2 linked regions of the Pelodiscus sinensis genome follow. The protein of the gene in region 1 purifies or fractionates together with the protein of each later gene. This does not show direct contact. Links are inferred from orthologs where the notes say so. Each region holds a gene or a part of one and is shown in the gene's direction. Other genes may lie near its edges.

The links.
Region 2: the proteins of TMEM259 (region 1) and TMUB1 purify together in Homo sapiens (affinity purification with mass spectrometry; 3 studies listed by BioGRID, with this or other methods). This does not show direct contact. The link is inferred for Pelodiscus sinensis from reciprocal best matches to the Homo sapiens genes TMEM259 and TMUB1.

Annotation. Positions count from the first base shown.
Region 1 is NC_134729.1:16,439,978-16,448,192, reverse strand, and holds the start of TMEM259 (membralin), read left to right. Parts: upstream 1-5,090; 5' UTR 5,091-5,359; coding exon 5,360-5,596; intron 5,597-8,215. Other genes in the region: uncharacterized protein LOC142818988, read right to left, coding at 173-729, 1,199-1,442. UniProt on the Homo sapiens protein: May have a role in the ERAD pathway required for clearance of misfolded proteins in the endoplasmic reticulum (ER). Promotes survival of motor neurons, probably by protecting against ER stress.
Region 2 is NW_027466049.1:4,719-12,614, forward strand, and holds TMUB1 (transmembrane and ubiquitin-like domain-containing protein 1), read left to right. Parts: upstream 1-4,875; 5' UTR 4,876-5,091; coding exon 5,092-5,567; intron 5,568-6,699; coding exon 6,700-7,054; 3' UTR 7,055-7,452; downstream 7,453-7,896. Other genes in the region: FASTK (fas-activated serine/threonine kinase), read left to right, coding at 7,839-7,896. UniProt on the Homo sapiens protein: Involved in sterol-regulated ubiquitination and degradation of HMG-CoA reductase HMGCR. Involved in positive regulation of AMPA-selective glutamate receptor GRIA2 recycling to the cell surface.

The DNA of each region.
Region 1 (8,215 bases):
GGCCCGGCCAGGCCACGCCCCTCGCGCTCAGGCCCGTGGCAGGGAACCGCCTGGCTGGGTGGCTCCTCTTGGAGAGGGCTGGGCTCAGCCGGCCGGCGGCGCTGGCAGCAGGAAACCTGCCGCAGGCCGGGTGGAAGCCGAGGGCCCGGTGCCGGGGGGAGGTGCCACTCACCATCTCTGCTGAGCGGCCCCTGGGGGGGGCTGGCGGCTGCAGCGCGGGTCCCGGCGGGGGGAGCCTCTGTGGGAAGGGCGGCGGGGCCGCAGCCCGGCGGGCGGGCGCGCCGTCTCTTGGAGCCTGGCCACCGGGCGGCTTGTGCGCTGCCGGCCCCGGGATGCTGCCTCGGGGCTGGGCCGCACTGGGAGGCAGCGAGATGGCCCCGGAAGCAGGACCGTCCCTGGCTGCCTCTACGGCACCGGCGCAGCCTCCCTCGCTGGGGCGGCTCCGCGGCTCCGCACGGCCCTCCCAGGGCTCCGCCACCGTCTCCAGCACGGGGCGCAGATCCACCAGGATCGTCCGGCGCGTGGGCCTCTCTCTGGCCGCCTCCCGGGGCGCCGGGGGAGCAGCCGGGGTCTCCGCGGGGGGCCTGGCGGGGCAGCCGCTGGCTGGAGACGCCCCCGTTCCTGTGCCGCGTTCCGGGCCGGGGGCCACGGCCAGGGGAGCTGGCTGCTGGCTCTGCTTCCGCCCACCCGCCCTGCGCCCCCCGCCGCAGGGGTCCGACGCGGGGAGGCCTGGAAGGGGAGGGGAGCGCTGGGTCCAGAGGGGGGGCTGGGGGGCTGGGCCCCACGGCACTAGGCCAGTGGAGGGTGTTTAAATCCCTCCCCGCAGAGGTGCCAAGGCCTCTGGCAAAGGAAGGTGCTGCCCCCCCCCAGCCCCCGACATCTCAGACGCACCCGGGCCCCAGCTGGAGCCGCCTCCCAACCGCACCTCCAGCTGCCCGGCCCCCTCTGCGCCGGCATGAAACACCAGCTGTGAGCTGTCCTCCCGCTCGCCGGCCCACCCCAGAGGAGGCTGCATGTCAGTACCCGTCGTGCACACACGCACGCACACGCACAAGCACACACACACAGACACACATTCAGACACTACTCACGCACACACACACACCCACACACATGCAGACACCCCCCCCCCCACACACACACACACTGGTCTAGCTGTCCCGGCTTGTCGGGGACGGGGACCTATCGTGGGCCGTACCTTCCCGCGGAGGCTGGCCCGGTGGGGGGCGGAACACCAAGTCCGTCCACGAGAAGTGGGGCAGCCTCGGCTGCGCTCTCGCCTCCGTCCGGTGCCCCAAGCCCATCCTCCGGCGGGGGGCGGGCAGCCGTGGGCGCTCGGGTACCGGTGGGGAGCGAGGGTGCGGGGGGGGGAAGCCGGAGGGAGACGCTGGAGGAGGCGGGGGGCTGGCCGTGCACGGAGGCAGGTCGGAGGTTCCCAGCATGGGCCGTGCCCTGGTGTCTCCCCTCTGGGCAGATCCATCCACCTGCCCAGTGCTGGGCTGCGCCGTGGGGTGGCCCCTGCTCTGCGGTGCCTGGGACAGTAACCAAGCAGGGGGCCGCTGCCGGGGGGGCAGGGCCGGTGTCTCTTAAGGTGGAATTGCTCACATGGGCCGGTGCAGAGGGTTTGGCTCATTCACAGGTTGCAACTTCCGACTCCCGGCTCCTTCCCCTGCCTGCAGCCCCAACGACCCCCGGATCCCTGTGCCCCCTGCACTGGGCGCCGTCCCCGATCCCTGCCTGTGACCCTGTTCCCTGCCAGCCTTGCTAGAGACACGCACGGGATGGTTATTAGCTCACACTGCTCAGCAGGGGCTTTACAGAGGAGCGCAGTAGCATCATCCCCATGGGGAAACTGAGGCACCAGGAAAGGGTTGTGACGTACCACTGGCAGGCCTGTGGGAGACGCAAGAATAGAATCCAGATTGCCCAAGCCTGTGCTCTAACCATTAGCTAGCACTGCCACCACCCCAAACTTCCCAGGACCTAGCCCTTACTTGGATAGACGCCCTGCCCCCGCACTAGTGATGGCCTCATACGCTCAGACGGGTACGGATCAGGGTTCAATTCAGAGCAGTTTCTGGAGGCCGGGGCCCCACTGTGCTCAGCGCAGGACGTATGCCGAGCAGGGAACCCTGCCCCTCCCTGCGGCGCTTACTGGCTGCTGTGAGCCCACGGCCGGCTTGGGTCACGCAGGTGGGGGCAGGGGGTGGCCACGAGGCGGTGCAGCCTCTGGGATGTATTGGTGCCCGGCAGGGGCAGGTCTCGGGCAGTGTTCCCTGTAAGCTGGGCACTTGGGCAGCCCCCGCAGGAGAGATTCAAATGCCACCCAGCTGATTCTCAGAGCACCTGCAGCCAGCAGCCTGTTTCAACTGGTGGTGCACATCCGCACATGCCTCGGTGCACGGAACAAAATTTATTCCCCCATGGATGGAAAAAATGAGAGGGAAGCCTGGTCTCAGAGCCTCCTCTGTAAGGTTGGCCAGAGATGTGGCTGCAGCCAGTTTCTCTCTTGCTGCCAGCATGGGGCTTGTGGCCCATGGGCTCGCAGGCAGAGGGGCTCGTGGAGCAGTGCGTGACTGAGGCAGGGATGTGCCGGAACACCAAGCCGGCTCTCCAGGTGCGCTGGCGAATTGCCAAGGCCTGGTGCAGCGTGTGACCGTGCAGCCCGGGCCTCCGGTGCTGCCTTGGGGATGGGATCCCTCGGGAACGCCCCCACTGGGGCTCCCCGCCAGCCCTTCTCGGGCGGCTCAGGCCTCCCGCCTGCTGGCGCCACCTTAGCTGAACACACACACACGCACACACACACACACACACACACCCCTAGGCCACTGCACCAGTAGCAACACAAACAGCCCGGATCAACAGAGAGCCCTGGCGCCAGCGTCCTTCCTACCAGCCAGGCAGGGGGGCCAGAATTCCCCGGCAGGCTGGCCTCACCGCAGGCTCATGGGGAGGCCCCAGGGGTCCCTCTCTCCTCTTGCAACCCTGGTGCCCCACGGAGTCACCCCGCCCACGCAGCAGGGGCCTTGTGTGAATTCATCCGTGCAGGGCCTCCCACCTGCCCGGCCCCTTAGAAATTAGCCAGGCAGGTGCCGCTCGCCCGCGCCTTGCTCGGCCCCGGCAACGTGCAGGCGGCAGGGCCCAGCTGTGGCCGAAGGGGCCTGGTGGCTTTGCCTGAGCGGGGGCTGCTGCTGTCCCGCGGGGCTGTCTGGGGGGTGTGCGGGGTTGTGAGCCCAGGCTCCAACTCAGCCTGGAGCCCTAGCCCAGGGCGTGGCCTAGGAGCGGCCTGGCTGTGACGGAGTCTCTGGCCTCTCCCCGTCTCAAGGCTGCGCCCCAGAGGGTGGGGCCGGCAAGCGACTCTAAAATACCAGGCCACTAAAGGAATCTGTTTAAAAAACTCCCCATGGTCACAGATTCCCTGGCCTTGGTGTGGCTGCCACCAGCCAAGGCAAACACCCCTTGCGCCCCCCAAGATGCACTTGGGAATTTCCTCCTATGGGTTACTCCAGCTCTTTAACCCTCTTTCCAGACAGCGCTTGGGAAAAACCTGCACTTCTCTTACTACCTGCCCTTGCAGTTCTAGGCTGCACAGAGCCGCCTGCCGGCTAGGACCCAAGGAGAGTTTTTGAACCAAACACAGAAGACCTACTGGGTAAAGTGTTACTTGCTTGCTGCGAGTTACAGAGCATCTGAAACACAGCAGCTTGAAAACACATTCGCAGTCAAGCCATCCCCCGCCTCCATGGCCCATCAGACAACCCAGACACACAACCCTCCCTGCCAGGGGCTGTTGTGGAGGGTCAACGTATAACTGGGTTCAAAGAAGAATTCGACATGCCCGGTCCGTCACTAGCTATTAGCCACGATGGCCTGGGCCCAGTGTTCCTTGAGCAGCTGCTCAAGAGAAATTCAAACGCTGCCCTGCTGATTAGCAGAGTGACAAACAGCCAGGTGATGTGGTTCTATTGGTGGTGCACATCGCACATGCCCCAGTGCACATCAAATTATTCCGCACGTGGATGGAAAAAAATTAGTAGGAAGGTTGCCTGGGACATAGCCCAATGCTCCAGGTGTCCTTTCAGAGGCTGGGAGATTGGCACAGGGTGGATAATTGCCCTGTTCTGAGCTGTGATGCCCTGCGCTGAGCTTTGGGCTGTAAAAGGTTCCTGGGGAGCAGCTGCCCCAGTGGATTCAGTAGCTGGGCGGTGGGAAGAACCAGGCGGAAGCCAGCCAGGCCCCAAAAATATGGAACGCTTCACGAATTTGCGTGTCATCCTTGCGCAGGGGCCATGCTAATCTTCTCTGTATCGTTCCAATTTTAGTATATGTGCTGCCGAAGCGAGCACGAATCTAAGTGAAACCCCGGAGCTATTTAAACCTCCAGAAGTGAAATATTTCTCCATTAGGGTGATTTGCCTCGTGTCCGCGCTGGGGTGCCTCAGTCACTAGTGAACGAACCACGCGGATCCTGATCCTCTCGGTGGCTTTTTTTCACTGTTCCTCCGTTTTAACGCTTTTAATTTCCTTTTTATTTTCTAACCAGGCTTCTTTCGCGGCGCATGCCGGGAACCACAGGGCGCGCCTTAGTCGAATATGCAAATAAGGCTAAAACGTAGGCCCGGCCCCTCTGGCCCGCCACCGTCCCGGCGTCCCCTGCGCAGCTGCCGCTCTCGGGCCGGCGCGCGCTCGTTGGCGCGGTGCAGCCTCCGGGCCGGGGCAGCAGGAGGCGGAAGATGGCGGCGGCGCGGGCCGGGTCGTGAGACGCGGCGGAGGGAGGCGGAGCGGGGCCCCCATGGCCGCGGGGCCGGCCCAGGAGCCGCGTCCCCGCCCGGGCCTGCCGCGGCCCCGCCGCCGCGCGTGACCCCCCCGCGTGACCCCCCCGCGTGACCCCCAGGGCCCCCCCGCGTGGCCCCCCCCCGCGTGACCCCCCCGGGTGCCCCCCCCGCGTGACCCCCGAGCCCCCCCGCGTGACCCCCCAGGGCCCCCCCGCGTGACCCCCCCCCGCCCCCAGAGGCCCCCCCGAGTATCACACCCGGGCCCCCCCCCCCGCGTTACTCTTCCCCCCCCCGTGTCCCTCTGCCCCCAGGGTCACCCCTGAGCTCCCCCCGTGTGACCCCCCCACCCGCGGGCTCCCCTCGCAGCGGTTCCCTCTGTCCTGTGTGAAGGGGGGGGCTGAACTACTCCCCCCCTCCCCCCCCCCCGGGCTGGTTCTGTCAGATTTGGTCTGGAACAGCACCCCTCCCCCAGCCGCTTCCCCCCCCCCCCCAAAAGGAGTCCGAGCCTCCCCCTCACCTTGGTGACAGGCCTGTGATCCCCGCGCTCCCGAAACGGCCGGGTGCCCCCGCCCCACAGGGCCAGGATGTCGGAGAACCAGCCCAATGCAAACCAGCACCAGCACCCGGTGAACAACAACGGGGCCGGTGGGGCTGCCGCGGGGAACAACCGGGGGGTGCGGAACCCCAACCTCAACCAGAACCCCCTGATCAACGTGCGCGACCGCCTCTTCCATGCCCTCTTCTTCAAGATGGCTGTCACCTACGCCCGCCTCTTCCCACCCTCCTTCCGCCGCATCTTCGAGTTCTTTGTCCTCCTCAAGGTGAGGGGCAGGGCCACGTGTGTGTGAACTGGGGGCACGTTCCACTAAGGATGAATAGTCGATTAACCTCACAGTTTATCAGTTAGTCGACTATTCTATAGTCCCTGAGAGTGGCAGCCCATGTGCTCTGGCCCCACTCCCGGGGAGTCCCCTGTCACCCTGCGCTGCTGTCTCTCTATCAGAGGCAGCAGCGCAGGGTGCCAGATGGGAGCTGGTCTGCCAGAGGAGCCAACTTAAAAACCAGCTCCTCGTGTGGACCGGCTTCCTCTCACCCCACTCTGTTGCCCCTGGAGATGCAGCCGCTCAGGGTTGCAGGAGGCTTCTCGGGAATGGGGTCAGCACAAGCTGGAATTGAGCGGAGCTGCCTGCCCACCTGGCTCCTAATATACTTTAAGTCAAGAGCCACAGTGGGGGGAGATCCTGGACCCAGCACAAGCCAGGACTGAGCCAGGCTGCTGGCCGGGCTACTAACAAAAATTACTGGCAGGGAGGGGAGGGAAATGCATGTAGTCTGTAGCATTAACCTGTGAGCGTTTGCTTATGGGTTAATCAACTATACTATTACATCTCTACTTTCTACATCAGTCTTCACCCCCTTGTACAGCTCAGTCAAGCCTGACTTGCTTCCAAACAGCTGTTAACCCACAGGAGAGATTGGCTGCTACCCTAGGATCAGTCACCTCACCCCACCTACACTGGCCGGAGAGACTTTCCCATCAGGCTGGTGTATTTTTCTGTTGAACCATTATATACGGTAACTGGGTGCATGGCTCCAGGTTGGGGTAGGTAGATAGTCTCTGGGCTTGGCAGTGGTGTAGGAACAATCTCCAACCATTAATAGATCTGTTTTCCATGACTAAGTATGTGAAACTTCCCTTGGGAGACGTATCCAAAGACTTATTCACTGCTGCCTTAGAACTGTACTGCTAAACCTACACACCTACATTTCCAGCCCATCTGAAGAGATGGGTTTTGCCCATGAAAGCTCATGATCCTACAGGTTGAACCTCCCAAATTCAGGTCTCTCTGGTCTGGCAACATCTGTGGTTCAGCATGAGAGAGCCCCAGAGCAGGAGGCCCAGCAGCTGGGAAAGTGGTGCAGCCTGGTGAGTCTAGCAGCAGCTATGCCGCAGCAGCCTGAGCAGCAACAGCAGAGCACAATCAGGGCTGCCTACTGCCCGACAGCAAGGCTGGGGCTGCAGCAACACGGGAGGGGAATCTAGGCTGGGGCCTTGGCGCAGCCTCGCAGAGGCAGCGTGGCTGGAGCCACGTGCCACCCAGCGGGGGATTGGGCCTGCAGCATCCCAGTTAGACATCGTGCCGCCCAGCTGGCAGCGGAGCTGGGACTGGCCAGAAGGCAGCCCGGCTGGGCCAAAGTTGCCAGCAGCAGGAAGGGACTGAGGGGCTGGTGTCAGGTAACCTCCCGTTGTCCAGCAAATTCCCTCATCCAGGACTGGTCAGATCCTGAGGGTGCTGGACCAGGGAGGTCCAACCTGTATGTATATTTTTGTTAGTCTCTGGTGCCACAGGACAACTCTTTGTACCTACCTTTGAGTTAATGCTGATTACGTATGGTATGTTCCATGTGCCTTAAACAAAACGTTTAACCTTAGATAATCCAAGCATGACACCCAGATGTACAGATCCTTTCCTCTTAACTTGTGTACCACGTGAATTTTTATTTTACACATTAGCTGTAATAGCATTTCCGAAACTTTCCTATCTAAAGTCACAGGTTCTAGTCCAACCTAGACTGATAGGCGAGTGCACACCACCATCTGATGGCTGTGTGGCCAATAGAAAATGATTTGGTGTTTTCAACGTGGTTTCGGAAAAGACAGTTTGGCTAAAATGGCCATCGGCGCTTTCTTGCGCAAGAGAGTGTCCACAGTGTAGACATAGCCCTGGTGTCTGGACTCCATTGATAGGGTGTTCAAAGTCCATGGTGTTCATATGGGGACCGTGGATCATTTTAGGATCCAGCTGGGGTTCCTGTCTCTCATCAAGGTCTGAGTTCCTGTCTGATGCTGGCTGTCTAAGGGGTTTGGGGAAGAGCAGGGGCCATGTTTTCTATTAAGTTGGAACTGATTACAGAAGGCTGTAGAATAGACTATCTAGGGAGGTGGCCCAAAGAAGGCTGCTTTGACTCCTTTTGAATCACTTTGTTTCCACATGATTTTAGCTCATGCAAAATCTAACTGAGGATCTAACTGCAGGATTGGTGGTATGAGAGTAACAGAGTTCAGTGCTATTGCCCCCCTGTTCTGATATGCCCATCTTGAAGCTATTTGGGCCTCTTACTACTCAGAAAATTGTGCAGTCTTTCTTGTGCTTTCATGGGAAGCATTCATTATTCCTAATTGCTTGAGGAAGTATTTTGTGTAGTTAAGAGAGAATTGTGTCTTTCAGTTTCTCTGTCAAAATGATTGAGTTTGGTCTTTTGGGTTTTTCAGCATGGCTTCAATCTTCCAGTCTGATGGCTGACTACTGGATTTGGGAAGAGTTTATCTGTGTTTTGGGAATTTGATCTGTAGTGTTAGTAGGGACTTGTGTACAGGCAGTCCCCGAGTTACGCGGATCCGACTTATGTCGGATCCGCAGTTACGAATGGGGCTTTTC
Region 2 (7,896 bases), on another chromosome or scaffold:
ACGTCCGCGCCGCCTGGCTCTCGGGACGCGGCTCTCGGGACGCCCCTGCCGCCTGGCTCTTGGGAAGCGGCCCTCGGGACGCCCCCGCTGACTGGCCCTCGGGACGCCCCCGCCGCCTGGCTCTCGGGACGCGGCTCTCGGGACGCCCCCGCCGCCTGGCTCTCGGGACGCGGCTCTCGGGACGCCCCCGCCGCCTGGCTCTCGGGACGTGGCTCTCGGGACGCCCCCGCCGCCTGGCTCTCGGGACGTGGCTCTCGGGACGTGGCTCTCGGGACGCCCCCGCCGCCTGGCCCTCGGGACGCAGCTCTTGGGACGCCCGCGCCGCCTGGCCCTCGGGACGCCCGCGCCGCCTGGCCCTCGGGACGCCCCCGCCGCCTGGCCCTCGGGACGCCCGCGCCGCCTGGCCTTCGGGACGCCCGCGCCGCCTGGCCCTCGGGACGCCCCCGCCGCCTGGCTCTCGGGACGCGGCTCTCGGGACGCCCCTGTGACGGCGCGATGGGGTTCCCCCGTCTCCTGCACCCCGAAATGGCACAAACAGACTGCACCAGCCAGTGGAATAGAGGAAGTTTATTGCCTCTCCAGGATACAGCACAGCACAGATGTAATCTGGTCACAGAGCTGGGCTAGGATGCCTCAGGCCCCCTTGAGATGGGGGAGACTGGGCCCCTAAACTCCAGCCCCTTCCCCTAGGCTGTCTCCTCCATGCTCCCAGCCAGCAACTAAACTCACCCTCTTCCAGCCCTGCCCCCCAGCCAGGGCAGCATCCACCTTCCTTTGTTCCTCTCCATGGGGGGTGTCTGACCACTGGTTCAACAAGTTTGGCCTTCCCTCTGCCTAGTGAGGTTTTCCCTGCTGGGTCTTGCTCCAGACAGCAGGGGTCAGCACAGCCCAGCAAGTACCCCCACTACGTCACAGTTCTCCCCCCTCCGAGAGCGAACTGAGCAGGGTCACTCCGCTCGTGACCTAGGGAAGTTCGGGTCCTCTGCGTGGGAACCCGCCCTGGGGACATGGGTGCTCCCCTTGACTCAGGCCGGCCGTGGCGAGGCCCCACATGAGCTGGCTTCCCTCTGTCCACTCGCCGCCCCGCTCCAGGGCGACTGGCACAGGCCTGTCCTCGGGGGTCACACCCACCCTTCCACTGGCCTTGATCTCTGGCCAGGGTCTCTCGGGCCGGGGCCATGAGCCCAGTGAGCCTTCTCTGGACAACCAGGGCGGCTCCCACACCCGACGCTCCATCCAGGGAGGACTTCCCCTCCCATAACTCTCTCAGCAAGCCCAGAGGGTCTATCTGGGGTAGAGACCCCCAAGCCGCTTTCCTCCTGTCTTGGGCCTTCCCGCCCCTCTGGCAGGAGTCACAGGACCGGCAGTACCGCTGCACGGCTGTAAAGATTCCCGGCCAATAGAAGTGCTGGAGCAGCCTCAGCCGGGTGCTCCGGATCCCCCGGTGGCCCCCAACGGGGACATCGTGGGCCAAATACAGCAGCTTGAGGCGATACTTTCGGGGGACGACCAGCTGCCGCTGGACCCTCCATGCCCTCACCTTCCTGGGGGGAAGCCATTCACGGAACAGGAGCCCACGCTCCACCAGGAATCTCTCCTGGCCACCTCTCCCACGGGGCTGAGCTGCACGGAGGCCAGCCTGGTCCCTCAGCCTCTGCAAGGAGGGGTCTGCCTGCACCTCTGCCTGGAATTCAGCTGCTGAGGCAGGGATCGGGACCTGTTCCCCACCTTTGCCTAGGTCCGGAGTCCCAGCCTGGCTGGACCCCGTGTCCACTGGGATGGGACCCTGAGGACGCTGCCAGGAGTCCTTCCCTGGACCCACGTTGTCAGCCCCCCGCTGGCTCTGGCTCCGGGTAGTGACTAGAGCCCGCTGGGATTCATGGGGCCACTCCTCTAGGTCATTCCCCATCAGCACCTTGGTGGGCAAGTGCGGGTGCACCCCCACTTCCTTGAGGCCTTCCTTCGCCCCCCATTTCAGATGCACCCGGGCTACAGGCACCTTAAACGGGGACCCGTCTATGCCCTTCAGGGTCAGCTGGGTGTGGGGTAGTATCCGGTCTGGGGCCACTATGTCGGATCGGGCCAGAGTCACCTCCGCCCCCGTGTCCCAGAAGCCCGTCACCTTCCTACCATCCACCTCCAGGGGTATGAGGCACTCGCTCCGCAGGGGCCGTCCTGCCCCCACCCGGTACACGGAGAAATCCGCCTCCTGAGAATCAGACCTCCCAGGGGAGGTGCACTGAGCACCCTTCCCCTCTCTCTGAGCTGAGGTTTGCCTGCCAGCCCCTGCCTCTGGGACAGCCTGCCCTTCCTCCCGCCCCAGCCAGTTAACCCTGGAAAGTCCCCGGTCCTGGGACCTGGTGCACTGAGCCCTCTTGTGGCCTTTTTGCCCACAGCGATGGCAAGTTAGGCTTTGGGCTGTCTCTGTCCAGGCCCTGGCTGGTTCTCTGGGGCACAGACGACCTGTTCCTTGGGCTCGCCCCGTAGTTGACTCTCTCCGTCGCTCAGCTGAGATCCGGTCTCTGCGCGGTTCCCTTTCTCTCCGGGACTCCCGTTCACACCCGGACCGGCTCTCCGTGAACTCATCTGCCAGCCTCCCGGCCTCCTGGGGGTTCTCTGGTCTCCGGTCCTTGAGCCACAGCCTCAGTTTGGGTGGGCACGCTTCATAGAACTGCTCCATCATGACCAGCCTGAGCAGCTCCTCTGTGGTCTGGGCTCCGACTCCAGACACCCACTTGCGGCAGTATTGCGCCAGGCGGGAGGCCAGGTCCACATAGGTCTCCCGTGGCCCTTTCTGTACCCCCCGGAGCTTCTTCCTGTACATCTCGGGGGTCAGCCCGAACTTGTGCAGCAGGGCCTCCTTGACTCGGTTGTAATCCCCTGGCTGTAGGTCCTCCAGCTGACTGAGCACTCCGGCCGCCTCCTGGTTCAGTGCGGGGATGAGCTCCTGCAGCCAGTCAGCTGGGGGGACCCGTTGCAGTCCACAGGCCCTCTCAAAGGCACTGAGGAACCCGTCTATGTCACCCATGTCCTTCAATTGGGCCACCACGGGCCTCTCCAAGCATCTGGCAGTCCTGGGACCCTGGGGCCCATCCGCACTTGGCGCAGCCGGTGCCCCGCCGGTTCTCCGCTCTGCCATGGCCAGCTCATGCTGTCGCTGCCTCTCTCGGTCCTGGCGGTCCCTCTCTCGGTCCTCTACTTCCAATTCCCTGATCCGCAGCTGGATCTCCAGCCGCAGCAGCTCCGCTGGGCTGTCCCCTGCCCTAGATGGGCTATTACTTGCAGGCCTCCCGGGAGACGCTGTCTCATCTCTCCGGTGGGTTCCAGCGCTCCTCCCCCCCTCTGAGCCTGACACACTCTCAGGAGGGGTCTGGCTGCTCCCCCTGGGGACAAGATCCTGGCCCTGTGGCTGGTCATTCTCTTCCAGCCGGGCAATCAGCTGGGCCTTGGTTGCTTTCCCCACGGGCAGGCCCCTCTCTCTGCACAGCCCCACCAGCTCTGCCTTCAAGAGTCGGGCGTAGGCCATCTGCCCGCTGGGCCCCTCGGTGCAGACTCACCAGTCTAGTGCTGCAGCGCCCCACGATTCCCAGGAACCACTTCTCTCTGCCTCCAGCACGCCTGGCTCCAGGGCTCTTGCTTCTACAGCGCCTTGTCACTTGCCACTGGAAGCTCCATCCACGGGGTGCAGTGCATCCCGCTCCTGACACCAGTGTGACGGCGCGTTGGGGTTCCCCACCTCCTGCACCCCGAAATGGCACAAACAGACTGTACCAGCCGGTGGAATAGAGGAAGTTTATTGCCTCTCCAGGATACAGCACAGCACAGATGTAGTCTGGTCACAGAGCTGGGCTAGGATGCCTCAGGCCCCCTTGAGTTGGGGGGAGACTGGGCCCCTAAACTCCAGCCTCTTTCCCTAGGCTCTCCTCCATGCTCCCAGACAGTAACTTACTAACCCTCTTCCAGCCCTGCCCCCCAGTCAGGGCAGCATCCACCTTCCTTTGTTCCTCTCCATGGGGGGTGTCTGGCCACTGGTTCAACAAGTTTGGCACTACCTCTGCCTAGTGAGGTTTTCCCTGCTGGGTCTTGCTCCAGACAGCAGGGGTCACCACAGCCCAGCAAGTACCCCCACTACGTCACAGCCCCGCCGCCTGGCCCTCGGGACGCGGCTCTCGGGACGCCCCCGCCGCCTGGCTCTCGGGACGCGGCTCTGCCTGGCCCTCGGGACGCGGCTCTCGGGACGCCCCCGCCGCCTGGCCCTCGGGACGCCCCCGCCGCCTGGCCCTCGGGACGGGGAGGGGCAGTGTGGCAGGGGAGCTGCGGATGGGGTGGGTGGGGGCTGGTGTGGCAGGGTAGCTGCGGGTGGTGGGGGTGGCGGGGAGTGGGGGGGCCGGCGTGGCGGGAGAGCTACGGGCGGGGGGGGCTGGCGTCGGGGGGGAGCCCAGCGTGATGGGGGAGCTACGGACAGGGAGGGGCAGGGTGGCAGGGGAGCTGCGGGGGGGTGGACGGCCTGACCGGAGAGCTGCGGGCGGGGGGGGGGCGGCGTGACGGGGGAGCTGCGGGCGGGGGGGGCGGTGGGCGGGGGGGGCCGGCGTGACGGGGGAGCTGCGGGCGGGGGGGGCAGCGGGCGGGGGCTGGCGTGACGGGGGAGCTGCGGGCAGGGGGGGCAGCGGGCGGGGGGGGCCGGCGGGGCGGGGGGGGGCCGGCGTGACGGGGGAGCTGCGGGCGGGGGGGGCGGCGGGCGGGGGCTGGCGTGACGGGGGAGCGGCGGGCGGGGGGGCGGCGGGGCGGCGGGCGGGGGGGCTGGCGTGGCGGGGGAGCTGCGGGCGGGGGGGCCGGCGTGACGGGGGAGCTGCGGGTGGCTGAGCCCCACGTGTCGTGGCTGAGCCAGAGGAAGCTGGCGGCCAGGCCCCCGAACTCGGTGCCAGGCTGTGGGGAGCAGCGGGGCCGGTTGGCCCTGCCCCCCAAGCCAGGAGCAGCGGAAAGGGGCTCTCGGGGGCTCTGGCTGCTGCCTGGGCGGGCCCGGGGCGCTCAGCTGCTGCTCTGTCCCTCTGCAGGCTGGTGACCCGGCTGTCCCGGCGCTGGCCCGCGGCCATGGCTCTGATCGAGGGCGTGGGGGACGAAGTCACCATCCTCTTCGGCCTGCTGCTGGTGCTGCTGGTGCTGGCGCTGGCCTGGGTGTCGACGCACACGGCGGAGCGGGCGGACCAGGTCTTCGCTGCTCCCCCCAGTCTGGCGGCTGGGCGGCTCGGGGCAGAGAGCCTGCTGGAGGAGGAGTCCCGGGAGCCCGGCGCGCCGGCCCCAGCCGCAGGGGGGCCCAGGGAGACGGCGGAGCCTTCGGCAGGTGCCGCGCCAGATGGGCCTGAGGGCACGGCTGCAGGGCTGAGGCACCGGGCCAGCCCCGGATCTGCACAGGGGCCCCCGCAGCCGCCCGAGGGCCCAGGCGCCAGCCCCGAGGCCGTGGACAGTAGCCCCACGGAGCGCGGCACCGTGCTGCGGCTGAAGTTCCTCAACGACACGGAGCGCCTGGTCTCCGTGCGCCCAGACGAGACGGTCGGCTCTCTCAAGAGGTGAGGGGCACGGCCGCCCTCTCGCCTGTGGGAGGGGAGAGGCTCTGGCATCCCTCGGCCTTGCTTGGCCCTCCCTCCCTGGTGCTGGACATGGCTCTCCGCTGCCACCCCCCGGCGGTGAGCCTGCGTGGTAGCCTGAGCCTTGGCAGCGCTGGTCACGGGAACAGCGAGGGCACCCGGCAGAATGCCAGGCCACGGAGGCGATGGGGGCTCCTGGGAGGGAGGTTGGACTGTGCAGGCTGAGGCGTTGAACGCGCGCTCGCCACGCGGGGGCTGGGCCGCGCAGTGGCAGATGCAGTTCCGTGCTGATGGGTGCACAGACCCGAGCGCGCGCACCGCCGGGGACTGACTGGCTGTTCCCACGCAGCCGTGGCAGGAACGTGGGGCCCCTTGGGAGGGGTAGGTAATGCGACAGGAGGCGTTCTACGGCTGCCACGGGGAATACTGAGTGCAGGGCTTCTTGCCAGCCTTCCCTCATCTCTCCCGTCCACGTGTGGAATCAGTTTTCTGGTGTGCACTAAGCGTGTGGGCTGTGCACCACCAGTAGAAACACGCTGCTTGCGATGGACGGCTGCGGGCGCTCTGCCAGCCAGCTGGTGCTCAGCGCACAGCGAAGGCTGCTGCTCATCCCGTCTCAAAAGCTGTATTTGAATGGGAGAAAGGGCCGAGAACCACGGGGCCGTGGTCCGCTCGAAGAGAGGCTGGACGAGAGGAGAGATTGCAAAGACTGGGACTGGCAAAAAGACGACTCTGGCGGAGTCGACCAGTCCAGAAGAGCGGGGGGGTCAGAGCAGTGTTATTTACCGCTTCCCAGAACACAAGGCCCCGGGGCCACTTAGCGACGTTAACACCAACCAGAAGGAAGGGCTGCTTGGCACCGCGCACTGTCCATCTGTGGAACTCCTTGCCGGGGGCGGCGTGGCTAGGTAAAAGCTGGATGAAAACGCACTCGGTCAGTTCCCGGAGCCAGGGCGGTCAGGACACAGCCCCTGCTCCAGGCCTGGTGCTGGGAAGGGATGGCGGGAGAGATCACTCGGCCGCTGGCAGACAGGACCCTGGGGGAGCTGGGCGGGGCCGTTCAGAGGCTCCCGGGGGGCTGGAGTGACGCTGCCCTCCTTGTGTCTCACCACAGGGCCCATTTCCCCGGCCAGGAGCACCAGGTGCGTCTGATCTACCAGGGCCAGCTGCTGCGGGAGGATGCCCAGAGCCTGGCTGCGCTGCATCTCACCCACAACAGCGTTCTCCACTGCCACGTGTCCCAGCATGGCCCCGCCCCCGTGGCTGCTGGCCTCCGGGCCACCGCGGACCCCGTGCACACGGCCCTCAACGTGGGCAGCCTCATGCTGCCGCTCTTCGTGCTCATGCTGGCTGCGCTGTGGTACTTCCAGCTGCAGTACCGGCACGTCTTCACCGCCACAGCCACCACCTGCCTGGCGGGCCTCACCCTGCTCTTCAGCTTCGTGGCCTTCGCGCTGTACCGCAGATAGCGCTGCCCCTCCGGCCGCGGCCTAGCCCCATGCTGCCCCCAACGGGCTCGGGGCTTGTTTGGCAGGGTGGGGGCAAGGCAGGACTGGCCGGCCGGGTGTCACCTGGTTCTGCTGCCGGAGGTGCTGTGCAAATAGAATCTGCCCAGACGCCCGCCCTTGCACGTGCTTGTGCGCAGACTGGGCACGGCTGCCCCGCACGCTGGCTGGAAGCCGGGTGCCCTTTTCCCTGCGAGCTTGAGTGGGCGGGGTCCCCGGGCCGTGGGGCCCTTGCAGCGGGGCAGTCGTGCTGCACGAGGGGCCTGGTGGGGGTCGTGCTGGCCTGGCTCAGCCGCGGGGGGCTAACGGAGCATGGTTCTCATTAGTGCTTCTTTTCAAATTAAAACCTGTGACTGACTGAACTCTGCCTGCCGGCCTGCTGTGTGTGCGGGGCTGCGCGGGGGGGGCAGAGGAGGAGGGGGCATGGGCCGGAGAGGGGCTGGGCTTTCCAGGGCGGTAGGGGAGGGAGACGGGGAGTGGGGGGCAGGGTGTGAGGGGGATGGGAGGGAGCAGACAGAGCAAGGAGGGGAAGGTAGAGGCGGAGCGGTGGGGGAGGGGGTATGAGTAGGGGTGGGCCGGGGGAGGGGAGCGGTGGGGGGCGGGGGAGGGGGTATGAGGAGGGGGTGGGCCGGGGGAGGGGTTTTGAGGAGGGGGAGGGGCCGGGGGAGGGGAACGGTGGGTCGGAGTGGGAGGGGCGAGGGCGGAGGAGCGGCAGGTGGGGGCGGGGTCTCGGGAGGGGGCGGGGCAGATGGGGGGGTCGCCGGGGGCCGCGAGCGAACGCTCACCCTCATTAGCATATGCAAATC